Linked DNA regions of Neodiprion lecontei. The protein of the gene in region 1 purifies or fractionates together with the protein of each later gene. This does not show direct contact. Links are inferred from orthologs where the notes say so. Each region holds a gene or a part of one and is shown in the gene's direction. Other genes may lie near its edges.

What was found. The genes of interacting proteins can lie anywhere in the genome.
Region 2: the proteins of muskelin (region 1) and glucose-induced degradation protein 8 homolog purify together in Homo sapiens (affinity purification with mass spectrometry; 4 studies listed by BioGRID and IntAct, with this or other methods). This does not show direct contact. The link is inferred for Neodiprion lecontei from reciprocal best matches to the Homo sapiens genes MKLN1 and GID8.

Annotation. Positions count from the first base shown.
Region 1 is NC_060260.1:37,761,238-37,769,354, forward strand, and holds muskelin, read left to right. Parts: upstream 1-1,736; 5' UTR 1,737-1,994; coding exon 1,995-2,083; intron 2,084-2,321; coding exon 2,322-2,391; intron 2,392-2,510; coding exon 2,511-2,653; intron 2,654-2,743; coding exon 2,744-2,948; intron 2,949-3,052; coding exon 3,053-3,100; intron 3,101-3,269; coding exon 3,270-3,462; intron 3,463-3,559; coding exon 3,560-3,795; intron 3,796-3,864; coding exon 3,865-4,145; intron 4,146-4,246; coding exon 4,247-4,424; intron 4,425-4,583; coding exon 4,584-4,787; intron 4,788-4,908; coding exon 4,909-5,100; intron 5,101-5,189; coding exon 5,190-5,432; intron 5,433-5,555; coding exon 5,556-5,795; 3' UTR 5,796-7,232; downstream 7,233-8,117. UniProt on the Homo sapiens protein: Component of the CTLH E3 ubiquitin-protein ligase complex that selectively accepts ubiquitin from UBE2H and mediates ubiquitination and subsequent proteasomal degradation of the transcription factor HBP1.
Region 2 is NC_060263.1:40,320,976-40,325,612, reverse strand, and holds glucose-induced degradation protein 8 homolog, read left to right. Parts: upstream 1-1,993; 5' UTR 1,994-2,313; intron 2,314-2,444; 5' UTR 2,445-2,450; coding exon 2,451-2,571; intron 2,572-2,677; coding exon 2,678-3,072; intron 3,073-3,531; coding exon 3,532-3,720; 3' UTR 3,721-3,833; downstream 3,834-4,637. Other genes in the region: nucleoporin Nup35, read right to left, coding at 4,521-4,637. UniProt on the Homo sapiens protein: Core component of the CTLH E3 ubiquitin-protein ligase complex that selectively accepts ubiquitin from UBE2H and mediates ubiquitination and subsequent proteasomal degradation of the transcription factor HBP1.

The DNA of each region.
Region 1 (8,117 bases):
ATACCTGTATTACGATGTTGGTTGATAATATGGTGTTTGTTGACGTACTTGCAAATTGTCGCACCATACGTGATACGTTACGCGAAGATCTGATTACAAAAAAATATTTATCTCTTGACAGCATCTGTTCAGCTCACGGAAATATTTCCACCTCAAATTAAGCCTCCGCCAGCAAACATAGACGATATCGTCCATCCTGACCTTCTCACTTATCGCTGTCTCGGGAATTTTTCATTGTTTAACAATTTCTATTCATTAACTATTTGAAAATTTCGTAATGTAAACTATTGGAATATCAAGTAGGCACCTGAAACTGATTACCTGAATCTTTTGCAAACTTTTGAAAATCTCTAAGTGAAGGGAAAAAGAACTCGTGTGACGAAATCGTTGATATTGACTGACGACATCAGTAAAATAACACATGACCGGCGGAGGGTTAACGAGTCAGATAGAAGTGTGAAAATCACATGCGTGTTTAGTCGAAAATTATTCAAAGGGCTGTGAGAAATTGAATATTTAGAGAGGAAGGTACGACGTGGTCTGTGTACCCTGCTGTTATTTTTCAAAGAAACCTTTATTAAACATAAGTTTTATATTTTTATATTATGCCTTTTTCATTGTTTGTATTCAAAAAGTTTGACAAAAAATATTTCAAATTATTAAATTGGATACGAATATCTAAATTGCTTGAAATTAGAAAGTAAGTACGTATGTATACATATATAATTTGAAGATAAAGAAAAAAAAAACTACCCAATTTGGTCTGAGTTTAATTTTTATTAAACAACAAGCCATTGTATCTACGTTATCATCAGTTTTCCATTCATGATTTTCGACTTCCTTGATCAATTGTGTAAGTTTTTATTTTTCTACTTCAAACGAGATATGTAACTAAGTGTTCAATGCTAGATATATAAGTCTGCATCAATAGGTGAAAATTTACTTCGTTAAGATAAAAAAAAAAAAAATCAGACATACGAATAATACTGTAAAGTATAAGTTAGACCAACCTTTGATAGTGCGTTGAAATTACTTGCAGTTTAGTAATAATAATCACGCCAACATTTATTATCGACCATGAGAGATTAATAAAATATTATTATTCATATTGTTTACTACCCACATGTAAGCTCTAACTAAAACTGTGACACAATTATTGCGCTAATCATTCTGTTCACGTTTCAATTAAGCATTAACGGTTTGGTCCTCAATTCAGGACAGAATTGACGTGCTAAGAAAAGGGTGTACCAAATGATGAAAACGTATTTTATATACAATTAATGATAAGAAGATATGACCTAGACTGACTGAAAGTCTAGTAAATCGATGATATTGTCTGATGATTGCGATACGAAAGAGAAGGGAATAAATGAACAAATTACACGATCGTAATAGTTGGGGAATATCTGTAATAACAATATTTATTGTCTGTACACGGCCAATGGGGTATTGGAAATACCTGATTTTTGTGTATAATCGGTAGGTGTACATAATCGTCATCTTGTTAAATAAATGAATATATTATTTAATATAATATTAATTCTTCAGTCGCAATGTCTTGACTAAATCATTCCCTCCAAATTATTTCTATATTTCAAACTCATCCAGTTTTATTTCTTGTTTTTTTTTTTATTCTTACATGTTTCGCATTTGCTTTCGAATTTACTAATGAAACTTGATACGAATACGCAAAATGGGGTCACGAAACAGTGTCAGTAGGTACGAAAATTCAGAGCTGACACAGAGAAATGAAAGCAGTCAATAACGATCCGTTGCGACGCATTTAATTTTGACCTTAGAATAGAAACAAATTTTCGACTATCAGTTGCTGATTGCGGCCAAATCATTGAGTGATTCAAAAATATTTAAAACGTTTCATCGGTGATCGCCGTAGTGCCGCGCTACACATGCGGATGTAATAAATACATTCATAGATATCTGACTTATGTATAAATTTCGGAACTTCGAAAAGGTTATGTCACTCGTGCAGCAATATGGCGGCGTGTGAGAGTGAAGATTTTCACAAGGTTTTGGAGTATAGAATTTTCAAATGCTCCAGCTACTCGTCGACCTATGTACCTGAGTAAGTATTTAAATTATCGACTCCTTTGAATCAGATAGAATCGTCGTGTGTCATCGAGCTGGCATCTGCCCACGACACGTAGAAATTTTACTACGCGTTCTTAACCTCAAACGAAAGCATTTTCTGTCAAGGACAACGCGTTCGGTTTCACTTAAACGAGGCTATTCACGGTCTCAAGGCCGAGCGGCGCGTGCAGGGTGAATAAACGGTTCATTGACCTTATTTCCCATATTTTCAGGAATATTCTCGTAGACGTACCGTCGGATCAATCCTCTCGCTGGTCCTCTGACAATGACAATCATCCTCAGGTATTACGTGCAGTGTGATAACGATGATTTACTTTCTCTATTATGCAATCTTAGCTTGATTTAAACCTACACCCTTAGCTCTTTGTAACACGAATTTCTTTACTCTTCTCCTGTTGCAGTTTCTCATTCTCAAACTCCAACATCAGTCCATCGTCAAAACTATCACGTTTGGTAAATATGAAAAAACTCATGTTTGTAACATCAAGAAATTCAAAGTTTTTGGTGGACTTGAACCGGAGAATATGATGGAGCTACTAGAAAGGTGAGATGCTTCCTTCAAGCATATTTCAATTAGACAACAAACGATTCTGTTTTACCTAAACTCGTCTTTCACGTCTCGTTTTCCTTGCAGTGGTTTGAAAAATGACTCTACACCAGAAACATTCGACCTCAAACATGTGGTCGGGAATGACGAGAACTATTTTCCGATTAAGTACCTGAAAATTCTTCCCCTGCAATCCTGGGGCCCCAGTTTTAACTTTTCTATCTGGCATGTTCACCTCGCGGGAGTCGATGACCAGAAACTTGTCAAAAGCAGCATTGAATGTTTTAACTCTGTATGTATTTCGCTTTTCACTTTTTTAAGACATCCTAGAACATTTTGTCAGATGCATTCAGCTAATTTAGGTACCTAAGTTAAAGTACAACTTTCCAGTAATAGCAGGTTAGACAGCAGCATAATACCAACGTTTTTATTCCACTAAACAAGGTGACTATGAAACCTTAACCGTAGATGTCCTTTAACTATAACGGAGTATTGATTAAGCATAGTAATTTTCTAAAATTTGCTCATTTTAAAAATTATTGTCAAAGATTCACATTGTTTACCCTCATCTGGCTTCTTGTTGCTTTAATTTATTTGTAACTAATTATTGTAGTACCGTCAGAAAGAGGTGTTACGACTGTGTATGAAACATTTTCGCCGCTTGGAATATCCGGAAATTGTCAATACTCTTCAAAGAGTTACTGGGGTGAGTCTTGAGGATTCCAGACTGTCAACACTGTATGATATATTGGTAACCAAGGGGGATCACTGCCAGGCAGAAAGATTCATTAGCAACGCTGTAAACAGTAAGTTTCTGGTATTTATCAAGGTTATTCAAAAAGCAATATTTAATTAAAAAATTTCATCCTTCATCCATGAAAACTTGGTCATTTTTCGATTCAGTGGGACTTTTCAATGAGTATATAAATGCTCAGGCTTACCGAGCTATATGGACAAAAATATTTTCCAAGGATCCAAAACCTGGAATGAGGGGTGGGCATCAAATGGTTTTGGACCCATCGGCGGAAATGTTGTATCTGTTCGGTGGCTGGGATGGAAATCAGGATTTGGCTGACCTTTGGACCTATAATGTATCAACTGACAAGTGGCATCTTATTTGCAAAGACACAGAAGCAGTGGTTAGTCAATGATCACGGTCTTGCGATATCAGGTTGTAGGATCTGCAACTAACATAAGCTATATTTCAGGGTGGTCCTACCGCCCGGTCTTGTCACAAAATGTGTTTGGACCCAGAAAGGCGTCAGTTGTTCACTCTGGGACGGTATTTAGACACTCAATATCGCTCGCCAGAAAATCTGAAGAGCGATTTTTACGTTTATGATATTGAGTCTGATAAATGGACACAGATATCTGAAGATACCGGAGCCGTCGGTGGTCCTCAATTGATTTTCGACCACCAAATGTCAATGGACGTCGCTAAGAGAACTATCTATATTTTCGGTGGACGTGTTCTTGTGCCATCGCATGTGTGAGTAAAACTTATATTGAAAGTGAAAATGAAAATTTTGGCTCAGATTAAATAAATTCCAATCAATTTTTCAATCTATCTTATCACTCTGCTTCCTTTAGGATTGAGGATAACCATGGAGTTACACCAAACGTGACAGAACCAGTATTTTCTGGATTGTATTCGTACCATGTGCCAACTGGGACCTGGAGTAGGCTCGCTTGTGATATTGCGAGACCCAGTCCGCCTAATATACCAACAATTAGGTCCAGAGTTGGACATTCCATGCTATTTCATCCGGTATGTCACTTCTTGTTCGTTGGATGTTGTGCTCCTTAATCTTCGATAATACGCATCTAATTCATATGCCCAAAATAAATAAACTCGTAGCTACTTGTCAAACAATGTAATTGGTAATAAGTGGCTCTATCATTTATAATAATGTAAAAAAATTTCTAGGAATTCAGAAAACTATACATATTTGCGGGACAGAGGAGTAAAGAGTATCTAAACGATTTTTTTACCTTCGAAGTAGACACCGAGACTTTGGAACACATCAATCTCAGTGACTTGGGAAACCGGGATTCAAATCATGTTCCCGCGGCTGGTTTTACCCAGAGGGCTACTATTGATCCTGAACTTGGCGAGATTTACGTTTTATCTGTAAATACGTAACAATGTTCTTTTTCTTTATGGCTCATCAATTGGTTTCAGCTATTGGTGATTACTTAATATTAAGAATCAACATAAAACCTCAGCGCTCACAGATGACTCTTACTTACAGGGTCTGAGCAAAGACAAAGAGAAGAGAGACGACAATGTTCAAAATTCTCTTTGGGTCTACAATATTAAAGAGAACCGATGGTCTTGCATATATCGTAATGAAAACGTTGGTGACAAGTATTGGAATAGTATGCAGGATTACGAGCCTTGTCCTAGATTTGCCCACCAGCTTGTGTACGATCATATTCAAAAGGTGAGCCACGCTGATTAAAATAGTCAAGGTGAACTCTGATTGCTTTCAGCTTTGACCGTTACTATTTCATTACGTTTCATATGCCGCAGGTCCATTATTTATTTGGAGGAAATCCGGGGCGCTCTTGTCTGCCAAAATTGAGGCTGGATGATTTTTGGCAGCTGGAACTCTGTAGACCCTCTCATGAGCAGATTTTGAGGAAATGCAAGCTGATAATAAGGAAGCACAAATTCGAAGAATTGGCTATGAAAAATAGCATCGAGGCTCTCGAGTACCTGCAGACACAAGTATACGAAATCATCGATCATGCCGATCCGGAGCAAACCAAAGAGGTATAAATCGTGTTTTAGACATAATTTAGACGTTAAAAACGTCAACTATCGGCTATCTCGTTTTTTTTTTCTATTTTGCAAAATATTAAGCTTAATATAGTAGTGATATTTGTTGTATCGTAGTTTCAGTTACTGGCTTCAGTTCTTTTCCGAGAGCAAGAAAGAAGCATGGATAACAGTTTAGATCTGGATCCAGCATCCAGCACTAGTTCCAGTGATCGAATTAATTCAGTGGTGCCAAAGAATTTTACGATGCACGACATCCACGCTCGCCGTACGGAATTGTTTGACAAACTTACCGAATTTTTTCCTGAAAGTTTAACTCAGCCGCGAGCAAATCTTATAGACCTTTTGCCATTGTGATATTTTTAACATGGTTAACGTACTTAAAAGTTATACTAATTTCGCGATTTTTTTTCCAATCACACACCAAAATCATACTTAGCCTATGTTTTCTTTATTGTATGTATAATTCAACAGCAACAAATAACAGACTGTTAGTCTTTTCGTTTAACAGGTATAATATCAAAGTCACGTGTTATTTATAATATTTTATTTTCATATTTAGCTCGTATAATTTCGTTTCAATATTACTACCGTGTATAAAAAATTACGACCAGTTGTAGTTCAGTTCATCATTATTTTTATACATACGGACAGCGATAATGATAACGTTTGATAGATTCGTTTCTGCAAGTAGTTTTGAAATAATGCCAATAGTCGTACTTTTTTTGATTATTTTTCATGAAGACTGTAATATTACATTTTATACGATTGTTTGTATCATTATATTTAACTTTAGAAATTTGGTTTAACTCTCTTTATTTATCAACTGTATCATCCTGTTATTCATCTCCGGTTTTACAATTGATTGAACTGTACGAAAAAAATTTTTTTTTCGAAGCCCGTACCTTTTCTCGCAATCAGTCAACGTTAATTTGCCATTCTACTTTATATTTTACCTTGTATTCGGTGTATTCGTTATTTTTAAAATGCATTGAGGAAAATACCCCAGTTTTTTTTTTTTCATTTTTGTCAGATTACATTAAATGAAACTTGGACCATTCACATGTTTGAAGGCAATTTTATTTTTACTTTCAATAGATTTTTATTTTTACAATTGCGAATTATTATTGTTGTTAATACTTGTTTACTTTTATCATTTTGTTCGCAACCTAAAATCTCTGTGAATTTCCGATTTACATGCTTGTAATACTGAAACTATAACTATATAGCAATTATTTGCCTCTCTGCTCTTTGCGAATTGTTATTCGTAATACTTGCTTAAACCTGAAGTTCATAATACAATGATCTACAACTGATAATATATATTGTCTAGATGCGTATTTATATAAAAAAGTTCTAAATTTACTTTAAATATTTAAGTGTACAGTGGTTTTATTATTGAAAATGATCTTAAGCTTCCGCTTGCCATAGTAATGAGTTGTTAATAGACTATTATGAATAAGCTCTAATAATAATAAAATAACAAAAATACAAATAATTAATATTTTATATTGCGTAGCTTTGTAAATATTTTTCATTAAGTTTTCTGTCGATATCGATTCTCTGTAATGTAACTGACATAATTTATACAATAATACATATACATATTATATATGTGTTTGTATATGATCACAATCTAACGATTATAAGATAACGTTAATGTGTATACAAACGTTAAATTTTTGGCATAATAACGCACTTTGGCATACTAGATAATCATACATCGAAATCTGTTACATGTCTCATCCAGATATTTCGTACTTTGAAAGGAGTAAAGCGAAAAATTGAATCTTTCATTATCCACCACGTGGCTAGATTGGTGGTTTTTTTTTTACACCTCCAAGCTACGACACATTATTTTTATGTAAATGTGTGTTGTCTATTAAACTTATCCATCGCTGTTCAATAGTAGCGCGAAGTAATTATTCACAATTGCATGGATTATACATGTAACGTAATTTCTACTTTTCCACAATTTGAAATGTTGAGAATTTATTCTATACTATTTGGGGGCATAACAAATGCATCAAATAGTGGAATATTTTTTAGGAAGTGGAATGTCTCAAGTCCAATTAATTAATACTTCATGGCCAAAAACATATTCATTTCCACAGATATGCTAATTTCGCACCTAAACAAACCATAATACTTAGGTGCTGTAACACACCTAAGCTTGAATGTTTCCTAGAATGAACGCGATTTCTTTTTTTAAAAATATAATGCTAGTTATGCGATGAGATCAACTGAAAAACGATCTGCGTATTGAATGGTGCATTGGAATATATATATATATATATATATATATATATATATATATATCTTAATACAATCTTAATACATAAAAGTTTCTCCATTTCACACAATATGCATGTTCTATTTGCACACGTAATAATGAAAGTGTGAAAAAAAAAATTAACATTTCTTCAAACATAATACAATCCATACTACGTTGGATATATATCTTCGGTCAACATATACTTTAATGTTGAGAAGTTTATAATCGTTGAAGTTTTTGTACAAAATTTATTATCCGCAGTAGTGGTCAAAGAATTCCTCGAAGTGAAATGTCTCGTTACAGGATTTTCTGCCGATATAGGAATGATAATAAAACTAAGTCACTTGGTACACAGGTAATAATATCCTAGTTACATAACGCAAGAACAAACGGAAAAAAATACT
Region 2 (4,637 bases), on another chromosome or scaffold:
TCAACAATTCACCAAGGTCAAGAAAAAAATCGTCTTCATAAGTATATAGCATTCGTACCGCGCAGATGTTGGTTCATGGTACTATGTAATAAATCTATTCAAACTAAACAGTCAATGTTTTAGCGATTATTCCTCTTGTAGATACATAACATATATTTTACTCCATTCCGAGTAAATATTCATTGTCGTTTGAAATGAAAATTGGAAGAATTTTTGTAGGAGTTTCTTTTGCAAAAAAAAAAAAACGTTCGCGATGCATACATAATTCGTAAATTTATTTGATATTGCTTACAGCATTAATTACGAGCAGCGACGTATGATAGCGAACACTATGGTAGTCAAAGCTCGAATTTTAGTTGTTCGACAGATCGAGTCTGTATTAGTAATGCATATTCGTAAAGCGAAAGACCTGAGAGACCAAATAAATTATCACGATGGAGGCAGCCACTTTCCAATTTAAAATTATTATACCCGTTCATTAATTTTGAGTCGTAAATCAAGAGAAACGTAATCGATGTAATACTCCATACTAGACACTTCATTTGCAAACCTGGAACATATTTGCAAACGGAAATGAAAAATTCTGTACTCCAAATAACACTTATATATTTTTGCTATAACTATGTCAGTAAATAAGCAAACGCATTGTAAATAGCATTTTATATTTTTCGATAAATTGTATACGGCTTTGAGCTGTGAGTATATAATAAACAGTTACGAAAACCTGCAATTAGTAACATACTTTACTGTAACCTCATTTTTTTGCAAAAATGCATCGATCTGAATGGATTATTTTGACAATCGATTTATTAGCTACTAATTATTGATATTTTGTACCGATTCTGTGCTGTCAATTAATCATCTGAATCGATTCTTCATGCTGAAGATCGATTCAATGCAACTTCAGAGCGTGATAATAAGAGTACGCCTATCACCTATGCGGCACGAAAGTGTTGAAAGGATGGTAACATTGTTTGATACCAAAAGTGTTTCAAACAGTTTCAAAAAGGATCAAGCCTGTGCTTTATAATCTATACATCCTACAGATTGCAATGATTGTTGATGGTATATCGTTTTAGGGAGTTTGTTAATTTCTCGTTCACCAATGGTATATATTTTGAGGAGTTTTGCATATCATTTCTTGTATTTTTCAAAAGTTCAAAAATACTTCGATCTTGGCGGGATTGATCTTTTGTCATGAAATCGATTCAGGAATTGGTCGGTTATGTATCGGTTCAAATCGATTATCAAAATCGATTCATTCGAAAAGTTCCGTGCACCCCTTACAATTAGTTTTCACTCATTTTTTAGGAAAATTTCTGGTGCAGATATTTCGCTATGAAAGTTCCAATGGAAATTTTGTTCTACATAAAAGATTGATTTATCATAGTACAATGTATTCCTATATACGTTCAGAAAATATTTACTGGTATAATCTTCAATGTTAGCTGCGATTAATCGGTTGAATACCTGTAATAACGCAAAATAAAATTTCATTTCTGGAACCGCGACGAGTGTATGCATTTTCCTACCCGACATATTATCCGTACAGGTTTCCATGCTATACGAATTTGAATTTATTTGTATCATCATGGAAGAATGAGTTGTGAAGCCATCAATAATATGCAGTGATGTGGGATATTCAGTGTTCATATATTAGGCTACTGTTTAAAATTGATAAAAACCGTATTCCGGGCCTATTTCAACTCTCTATGGTTATGAATTCCGACGACAAAATAATTTGAGATTTACATACACTGCTTTGCGGCAACGAGTGGTCGCGATCGGTTGCACAATTATCGATGATATGAGGTAAAATTTCATATGTCTAATATTCTGCGCTCATCATTTACAATTAGTAGCATCCTCTGACACGAAATAGGTTATTGAAACTAAATTCTGATGTGCTCGGTCGGTAACCACCCAATACTCTGCCATATTAAGCATCAGTGTTCGCGTCAGCGAACGCTACTGAAAAACCCGACATGGCCTCTCTTACAATTAAGCAAAGATCTCAAGGGTCCGTTCTGCACAACAAAGGCACAAATTGAAATGCAAAGTGCAGAAGGTTTCTCTCTGCAAAGTGTTTGCATTGACTGAAGAATACTGAACACATTGTCAGAAAAACGGTGAAAGTAGTTGGTCTATCTATAAAGAATATAGTTTCTATGATCATTGGTAAATCCGAATGCGTTGTTTATGACGTTCTGGCGTGGTGACAGTTGCGAAAACCTTTTAGTGAGCTAAATTTCGACGATATTTTCTGTTATACCAGTTGGATCGATTAATTTATTCTGTTACGACGATTGGCGGGTAGGTTGAAGATGTTTTTACAACCAAAATACCGAGTCACAGGTGGCGCGTACATTCTTGCAGTTCAATTGTTGTCAAATTTCACAATTCATTGACCCCTAAAATATTTATTTCCACGTTTCCCTTCGTAGGGAAAAATGAGTTTCCCAGACAACCAGGACGACATGTCAAAAGACGAATGGGTTGCCAAACTCGAGGATGGGTCCCACATACAACGTGTTTCCATGAATAACCTAATAATGAATTACCTTGTCACAGGTAACCTCAAGTCACGATTTGAGATCTTATTTAATATGACAAAATGAACCAAAGCAAGTACGGGATTCACACAAACTCTCAATCCACACTTTATTTCCATGTTTAGAAGGCTTCAAAGAAGCGGCGGAAAAGTTTCAACAAGAATCTGGAGTCGGGCCGACGGTTGAACTAAATTCTTTGGATGATAGAATTCGTATTAGAGACGCTATCCAAAATGGCCGAATTCAAGAAGCCACTGATCTGGTCAATCAGCTACATCCAGAGCTTCTCGATAATGACAGATATCTTTATTTCCACCTGCAGCAACTTCACCTTATAGAATTGATACGTACTGGCCGAATCGAAGAGGCTCTCCAGTTTGCTCAAGAACAGTTGAGCGAAGCTGGGGAATCTGATGACAATATATTAAGTGAGCTGGAACGTACCTTGGCTTTGCTAGCATTCGATGAACCACACAAAAGTCCCTTCAGTGATCTTCTGCACCCAACGCACAGACAGAAGGTAAATTGTCGTAAGTCATGTAACTTGATTAAGGATCTGTAATAATAAGAATATCCTAAGTCGCGAGTTTTACCCACAGTATTTACAATTGAACTAAATTTAAGAACTTACTGAAGACTGTATTCTATTCTGAATCCATATCGCATATTTTCAACTACATACTATTTGCAATAATGATACGCAACTAGGTTTTTCTAAATAGCGGTAGGAAACCATGAAAACTTTTGATTGTGTATATTCCAAATGCAAATTGCTCAGATACACATCGCATTCACATTTTAAGTCATTTCAGCTGCAACTAAACTGACACAAAAAGTACTTTAACCTTTTAGCATTTCTACATCAAATTAATATGTTTATAAACTGAAAAAACTTTTTGAGATAAGTATGACTTGATGAAACTTCTGTTTACATGCTATTTCATTTTTTTTTTTAAACCCAATGTCCTCTTAATATTAGTATATGTTGCAGATTGCAAGCGAGCTGAATGCCGCCATCTTAAAAATGGAACACCGCGAGACTACCAGCCCTAGACTAAATAATTTATTAAAAATGATACTTTGGGCTCAGGATGAGCTGGATACCAAGAAAGTGAAGTATCCCAAAATGACAGATTTGGGTAGTGCCACAATCGAAAATCCAAAGTAGTATTAATTAAGTAAAATGATGTTATAAGAGATGTCAGAATTCAGAAATTTATTTATAGGAATATCCTTGGTAATGTGATTAAATTAAGTCTTAAAATAAATGTTTATCTTGTATTCAACTCAACTTTTTATTCGTGCAAAATATATTTACAAATTTTAAACCCCACCACGGTATTTTACTACATTCCTAAACACCCAGATCCTGTGTGTGTTTTGATCAGAAAAATGTTAATGAAATTTTGAATTGCACTGCCCATCACGTTACGACAAATCTGAAGAGTTATTAATACACGCTCCTTGACTGACTTGGATAATGATATACAGAATAAAAAAATCTGTTTTCTTTATTTTATACACAATTACATGATGTTTGCCTACAGGTAAAAGTTAAAAAAAATTAGCAGTGTACCGTAACTTTAAATGACATCAAGTTAGTACGGAAAAATTCATGTCCAATTCTTTACACAATAGAGTACGTCATGAATGTTAGAAAATATATCTTTGCAAATTACATACTTATATTCTAAAAGTGACATTGGCATTTGTTATTTACTGTTAATTGTTGGACATTCAAACATACGAATCGATCCCATATTGATGTAGCGTGACAATGATGGTATAAGATGGTTAATTGAATACAACGAGTCGACTTTACTGCACCCTCAATTACAAAAATTAATATTTATCACTTGATGCGAACAAAAAAACAACCGTACAAAATTATACTAAAATTCGTCAGATTGAAGAGTAAAAACCGAATGGAGTTGCGAAATAAACGCAGTATGGGGGAATTGCATCGAGCTACCAAATGTATTCATAAATTTTTGAGAAGAACCCTGTCGACTTCTGTGGCACGTTTTGAGGCATTACAACTGCTTGGGGGCTCAAATGTTGGTTATAGCCTACCGCTAAAGGACG